Arabidopsis thaliana: one gene and its partner. The protein of the gene in region 1 interacts with the protein of each later gene in a pairwise test. Each region holds a gene or a part of one and is shown in the gene's direction. Other genes may lie near its edges.

Evidence for each region.
Region 2: the proteins of HDG11 (region 1) and RBCS2B interact in a two-hybrid assay, tested with the Arabidopsis thaliana proteins (one large-scale study listed by BioGRID).

What each region holds. Positions count from the first base shown.
Region 1 is NC_003070.9:27,581,055-27,584,812, reverse strand, and holds the start of HDG11 (homeodomain GLABROUS 11), read left to right. Parts: upstream 1-2,127; 5' UTR 2,128-2,992; coding exon 2,993-3,138; intron 3,139-3,214; coding exon 3,215-3,332; intron 3,333-3,434; coding exon 3,435-3,623; intron 3,624-3,709; coding exon 3,710-3,758. Other genes in the region: SUS6 (sucrose synthase 6), read left to right, coding at 1-280. UniProt on the Arabidopsis thaliana protein: Transcription factor which acts as a positive regulator of drought stress tolerance. Can transactivate CIPK3, NCED3 and ERECTA. Transactivates several cell-wall-loosening protein genes by directly binding to HD motifs in their promoters.
Region 2 is NC_003076.8:15,380,380-15,384,137, reverse strand, and holds RBCS2B (Ribulose bisphosphate carboxylase (small chain) family protein), read left to right. Parts: upstream 1-2,066; 5' UTR 2,067-2,159; coding exon 2,160-2,330; intron 2,331-2,420; coding exon 2,421-2,555; intron 2,556-2,695; coding exon 2,696-2,935; 3' UTR 2,936-3,231; downstream 3,232-3,758. UniProt on the Arabidopsis thaliana protein: RuBisCO catalyzes two reactions: the carboxylation of D-ribulose 1,5-bisphosphate, the primary event in carbon dioxide fixation, as well as the oxidative fragmentation of the pentose substrate.

The sequences.
Region 1 (3,758 bases):
GAAAAGTAAAGATGGTCAAGAACAACATGATGTAAAGGTCGGAGAAAGAGAGGTAAGAGAAGGCTTGCTTGCAGCTGACGCATCAGAGAGAGTGAAGAAAGTTTTAGAATCTTCGGAAGAGAAACAGAAGCTAGAGAAGATGAAGATTGCGTATGGACAACAACATAGCCAAGGAGCTTCGCCGGTTCGAAACTTGTTTTGGTCAGTCGTTGTTTGTCTCTATATCTGCTACATTTTGAAGCAGAGGTTCTTTGGTGCTAACTCGGCTCAAGAGTATTAAAAAGTTTGACCTTGGATCGAGGAAAAGTGAAAAACTGTAAAATATGTAATGACTAATGAATGAAACTACCATCGATGTAAAATTAACTAATAAAATCAAATTGGTCAAGATTTTTTTTTTTTTTTAATTTGGCTTTGTGAATTAATATTGGCTTACCAAATTGTCCAACTGTATATAATTACACACGTGTATGTACTATGTGCATGTATTAATTATGAAAATTGGTTGAACATATATTTGAATTAATATCTTAAGATAATAAATAAAGTAATGAATCGGTCCATATGATAATTAAATTTAGGGATAGCTATATGGAGCAAACGAAGGCAGAGACTGTATGTGAATTGGTTCACTTTATTCAAGGTCCCAAAATAAATGTGGTAAGATGAGAAATTTATATCAAGGCTTTAAGGACTCTATTTAATTGCTTCTTCTTTTCAGACTGATGTCAATATTTTTTAGGAATAAAATAATGCACACATGAATGGTAAATTAAAGACCAAAGTTGATAATAATAAGAAACAATATAAATAACTTTTGTTCCTAAATGATTATCTCATCAATAACAAAGAATTGGTGAATGATACACAAATTCATTACACTATCTTTAGTTCATAAATAGTTTTATATTTACTTCGCATTATAGCATTCATAATCTCTAATGAAATCCATGATACGTTTCTATATCATCCAATAATGAAAACATAACACCAAATAGAAAATTTGCAAATCAGTTTAATTATGAGATTTCATATTTGTTTTAATAATCAGGTTAGTAGTATCATACAGTATGTTGTATCATATTTTCAGCTAACACTTAATGTCGTCGTTGTTGAGGAAACAAAATTAGAAATCGCATGCAATCCCTTTTGTCAACGAAAGTTTGTATAATAAATTCACATTGTTGTCAAGTTTTCAAGTTTCAACCATATTTCTTTCTTCCACAGGTTTCTAATTTCAATGTATAGTAAAAACAGTTTGACTTTTTTTGATATACACTTCGAAGTGAATAGAGTTAAGACCGCGTGAGTAGGAAACAGCCAACACATCGAGACGACCCAAAAATGCAAAAATACAACAACTAAAAATAAAAATAAAGCTATTTTGATTACAGTATTTAAACAGATATAAAAATAGCTAATTATATCATATTAAAGTTATGTTATTTAAACAGTCTTAAAAGGAATTGAATAACGTGCGATGTTCCTAAATATGAATGTATGATTAAATCAGGTAAAACATAGTACTAATAATCTTATATAGAAAAAATTATAAATTAGTGGAACGTTCCATGCATTCATTGTATTCAGTAAATAATCTTTACTATTGGCAATTTTGTCGAACTTATGACCCGCTCGCTTTAATAGAAGACTACAGTGCAGATAAGTTGTTTGTCCATGTGTAAACGTTTTAATAGTTTTAACCGTGGGTAAGAAATGTTTGTTTTATCACGAGTTAAAACAATAATTACTACTATTAAAATACAATAATTATTATTAAATATCCTTAAACTAGTAATGTTTTGAGAAAAGTAAATATCTATAAGAAAATCCATTTTAATTATAGATCTTTGTTCACTAAACAAAACAAGTGGTGTTTTAAGAAAAGTAAGAATCTAGTACAAAGTAATTAAAATTGCCTTTACACAGATTTTCTCATTTTTCATTTTGAAGAAATATTATGTATTATAGTAATAAATCTTTATTTGTTTTTAGTACATCTAAATTAGGCAAAAATTAGAGAAAGTACAATTAAATTATAACAGAGTAAGAAAACTTGGGAAATGAGAAAGAGAAATAAATAAAAAATCCAAAGAAGAAGAAGAAAATGAGATCAGCAAAATCCCCAATAAAAGTTAATTTTTGTCATTATACGAAGGTGAGAAAATCGCCGGAGAAAGTGGATAAAGTCCTCTCCTTTTTTTATCCAACCACCGTCAATTTAACCCTCTCCGGCAACATAAAAATCCACCGGAACTTAAAAAAGAGAGTTAGTTGTATAGAAAGAGAAACAAAAGAAGAAGGTTGGTTCGGTCCTCTCTCTCTCTCTTTCCCCGAGTATGGTGAGAGTACTAGTTAGCAGTAATGGAGAGAGCAAGAGACTTTAAAACCCTCTTTCTCTTTCTCTCTCTTTTCTATTTTTTCTTCTGTCAATTTAAAAACCCATCAGTTACGCCAATTTCTAAAGAGAGAGTTTTCTTTTAGCGAATCTGTAATGAATGTTGAAGAAGCAACAAAAGGGGTTTGGGAGCACTAATGGCGGCTTTAGCTTAGGTGAGAAAGTCTTTACAAGGAAGAGATCATATACTATCTCACTTTCTCTTTCTAGGGTGGCTCTGTAGAGAACTAAGAAGAGACATTATTACGGCTAAAATAAAAAACCTATCTCTTTTGGATTTGTAAAAATTCCTTTTTTTTTTCTTTTGTTTTCGTAATCAATTTCTTGCCTAAAGCGAAACCTTTTCACCTCCCGAAATCATCGCCTTTGCATCTTCTCTTTCAGATTCTCTTCCGTTTCGTTTTTTTTCTTTCTTTTAATCTCTCTTCCTCTTCTCTAAAATTTGAACCTTTTTTTTTTTTTGGTGTGTTGCTCTGTTGGGTTTGTGTTAATGGTGACAGTGGTGTAAATGGTCCATTAGTAGTTTGTGGTTGGGTGAAAAGTAAAGAGATTAAAGACTGTTTTACTGTCTTTTCGAAACATTAATTAAAAAAAATGAGTTTCGTCGTCGGCGTCGGCGGAAGTGGTAGTGGAAGCGGCGGAGACGGTGGTGGTAGTCATCATCACGACGGCTCTGAAACTGATAGGAAGAAGAAACGTTACCATCGTCACACCGCTCAACAGATTCAACGCCTTGAATCGTACTACTCTGCAATCCCTTCTCTTTTTTATCTTTTGGACTCTGTTTTCATTTTGTAATCGTTGAAACTTGGACAGGAGTTTCAAGGAGTGTCCTCATCCAGATGAGAAACAGAGGAACCAGCTTAGCAGAGAATTGGGTTTGGCTCCAAGACAAATCAAGTTCTGGTTTCAGAACAGAAGAACTCAGCTTAAGGTTTTGTGTCTCTGTCTCTCTCTCTCTCTTTTGAGTTTAAAATGTAATTCTGAACACGAAAAGAGAGGATTTTGATTTTCGTTGTGGTACTGTTTTGTGTAGGCTCAACATGAGAGAGCAGATAATAGTGCACTAAAGGCAGAGAATGATAAAATTCGTTGCGAAAACATTGCTATTAGAGAAGCTCTCAAGCATGCTATATGTCCTAACTGTGGAGGTCCTCCTGTTAGTGAAGATCCTTACTTTGATGAACAAAAGCTTCGGATTGAAAATGCACACCTTAGAGAAGAGGTTTGGTTTTGTTTTGCGAGTTTTTATTGATGTAAGATTGATTCAAAACATCATTTTGACTGTGAAAATTTGATCTTTTTGCATAGCTTGAAAGAATGTCTACCATTGCATCAAAGTACATGGGAAGACCGATAT
Region 2 (3,758 bases), on another chromosome or scaffold:
TTCCTTTAAATTTCTCTCCTAATTCTTGCCTTTGGTTCTCTAATGAAAGAGTACCCTTTTTAGGTACATTTCGCACTTGAAAGCATAGCAAAGATGCGTCCATCAATCAAATTTTGAGGGTTGATTTAGAACATTTTAATTTAAAGATGAAAAACAGCCAGTAAAGGTAGTAAAAATACGTAGAAAATAGAGATGTCGTCTCAGAGAAGATGAAAGTTACATAGCCCTTTGGAAAGGAAAAAATGATCACTACCGTCAAAAGTTTGTCACAAGAGATACATGCTCAAAAATTCGCAACACTAAGCCTACGATGGACGGATACAAAGGGATCTGTTTCTTTTACTTTACCCTAACTACTCCTTTCTCAGTTGGCTAGCTTCAAAAAACAGAGTTGCCACGGGAGACAGAATGTTTAAATGGAATCAACAAGTGAACACAAACTGCATGTTCTGTCACGAACCTATGGAAACAAGACACCATCTTTTTTTTGGGTGCTCTTACTCGCAGAAGGTATGGGAGAAGCTGATAAGGGGAATACTACTTGATAAGTACTCGACATATTGGAGGGAAGTCTTTAAAACCATTTGTGACAAAAACTATGACAAAACAAAAATCTTCATTCTACGGTATGTCTTCCAAAACACGGTTCATTCGATTTGGGGAGAAAGAAATGCTTGAAAGCATGGTGAACAACCATCACCAATGGAGAAACTTGTCAAGTTAATTGACAAAAATGTTTGGAACCGGCTGAGCACAATACGGAGTGGGGGGAGCTTTGAAGTATGAAGGAGGTCTTCAAGTTTGGTTTGGTACAAGACAAGCTTAAGACCAAATCCTCTGTTTTAGATTTGTTTTTCAAAAAAGTATGCATTAAGTTGTAAACACGTTTATTTCTCTTTTTAAAATCTAATCTAAAAATTTTCTTTTTTAAAATGACATAGAAAAATCCAACTGTATATTTTAAATCCATAAACATGAATTCTAGAGCCGCAAGTCCAAAAATTTAGAGATGACATCATAGCAAGCAAGGACACGCAAGAATTAATGAAATTTATAATGGAGATAACAAAGCATGAATATTTATAATTTGGAAACTGTTTTACATTAAATTAGATAGTTTACGATACATTCAAAGCTAAAACACTTATTTACAATGAAAAGTAATCAATGTTTCTTGAATGGGTTTGGCTACTTCTTCTCATATGGTTGGACCGGGGCATATATGAGCTTTTACGTGGTATTCGTGGACCCATGACCATATGAGCTTCTTCATGTGGCCTTAGAGTGTGGATTCTTCCCTCGGATCCACACCATCCATTGAAGTGTGTTATAAAATTTCCCCATGATCCGTCATGGCTTTTGTGCTTAAGTTGTCATGGTGGGAATTATCTTGAGGTGCCACATTCGTGCTTAAGTGGGCCGTAAGTGCAATTGCGTTGTGCTCCAAAAGGAACGGTGCCGTGGGTTCCTCTTGTTCATCAGAAATATATTAATTAGCCGTAAAACCTGAAAATTCACAAGCATTTGGATTGTTTTCTAATTTAATATCCATTATGTGACTAAAAGTTCTAGTGATCGTACATACTACATAGAAAATAATAACACAAAATACTAGTTTACATTTCCCAATTAAAAACCATTTTGAATGAACTCTGTCTGATTTAATTATACTTTTAAAATGTGGGATGAATTCAAAGATTATACTTATATTCTTATTATTTAAGATTATCAAGTGGAAAAATAAAAATATGAATGTGTTAATATAAGGTAATAGAAATTTAATCATTTTTTTAATCTATATGTAAAAAGTATTTAACCGATATCTACAATTTGACGCCTCCCAATTGAAAGGAGCCAAAAGCAACCGATCAAGTGGAGACCAGTAGCCATACACATTCACTCCTACCCTTACATGAGAAAGATAAGATTATGGAGTTTTCTGCCACGTGATCTTATCCTAGTGGTCCAAATCGATAAGGGTGTCAACACCTTTCCTTAATCCTGTGGCAATTAACGACGTTATCATGAATTATGGCCCCTTTGATCATTAGGGCTAGTTGCCTCTAGCGGTTCCCACTATATAAAGATGACAAAACCAACAGACAAACAAGTAAGTAAGAGAAAAACCAAAAGAAGAAGAGAAACAACAAGAAGAAGTAATGGCTTCCTCTATGTTCTCCTCCACCGCTGTGGTTACCTCCCCGGCTCAAGCCACCATGGTCGCTCCATTCACCGGCTTGAAGTCATCCGCTTCTTTCCCGGTCACCCGCAAGGCCAACAACGACATTACTTCCATCACAAGCAACGGAGGAAGAGTTAGCTGCATGAAGGTAAATGTCATTAATGAAAACTGTCTTTTGTCATGTGCAATTAGTGCAACTGAACAATACTTTAGAATAATTGGGAATTCGAATTTATAGGTGTGGCCACCAATCGGAAAGAAGAAGTTTGAGACTCTATCTTACCTCCCTGACCTTAGTGACGTTGAATTGGCTAAGGAAGTTGACTACCTTCTCCGCAACAAGTGGATTCCTTGTGTTGAATTCGAGTTGGAGGTAATATACACTGAACTTTTCCTTTGTCTCTAAGCATCCTTTATTCTTCTTCTTCATTGCTAGAAACTTAAGTGGATAACCGAAATAGACTATCACCAATATATATATCAATTGTATTGAATGGTTTTCTTTATATATAGCACGGATTTGTGTACCGTGAGCACGGAAACACTCCCGGATACTATGATGGACGATACTGGACAATGTGGAAGCTTCCATTGTTCGGATGCACCGACTCCGCTCAAGTGTTGAAGGAAGTTGAAGAATGCAAGAAGGAGTACCCTGGCGCCTTCATTAGGATCATCGGATTCGACAACACCCGTCAAGTCCAATGCATCAGTTTCATTGCCTACAAGCCCCCAAGCTTCACCGAAGCTTAATCCCCTTTCTGGAATATTCAGCGTTGATTATTCTGGAACCCATTTCTATGTGGTCAATGCAAATTTAAGAAATTATTTGCCGACTTAACAGTTGAGGAACTATTGTTTGAAAGTGAAAATGTTATTCCTATCAGTTTCTCTATAATTATAGTTATCATTTCATTTCATTTTTGCCCTTAAATCTTTGAAATCTTATTTTTCGTTTAGCTCCTTTAAACAACATTGTGGCTCCTTTAAATTATCCTCATAATTCTTGCTTTTGACTCCCTAGACTAACCAATAAACTCTAATAAAAAAAGAAAAACTTGCTACATTGTTTTAAGAAATTTTGCACATGAAAGCAATCAATCAAACCTCGATATTTAGAGAAAAGTTTATGTAAGGGAGTGTAACCATTTTTCAGATGACATAGCCATTGGAGATTTGGAAAAGGTAGTATATACAGAAAATTCAAATGCATCTTTTAAAATTATAAACATAAAACATGTATTCCAAACCCCTAAGTGGGATATTAAGTCAAGAAATAGCATTACATAAAGCAAGGATCGACAAAGACTGAAATTTGTCAAGCATGAAGTTACTAAATTTTGGAAATTTTGTTTACGTTAAATTTGATCATTGGTTATGCATTAAAAGCTGAAACAGTTATTTAGAAGGAAAAGTAGTTAACGTTCCCAAAAAGTTCTAAATAAAACTAGATTCCAAATGATAATGAAAACGTCGCATCTACTATATGTTTGGTTTTAAGTTTTTGTTTTGACAAAAAATCATATGTTTTTGGATTCTTCTATGCAAACGAAATATAAAAAATTCATGATTCAAA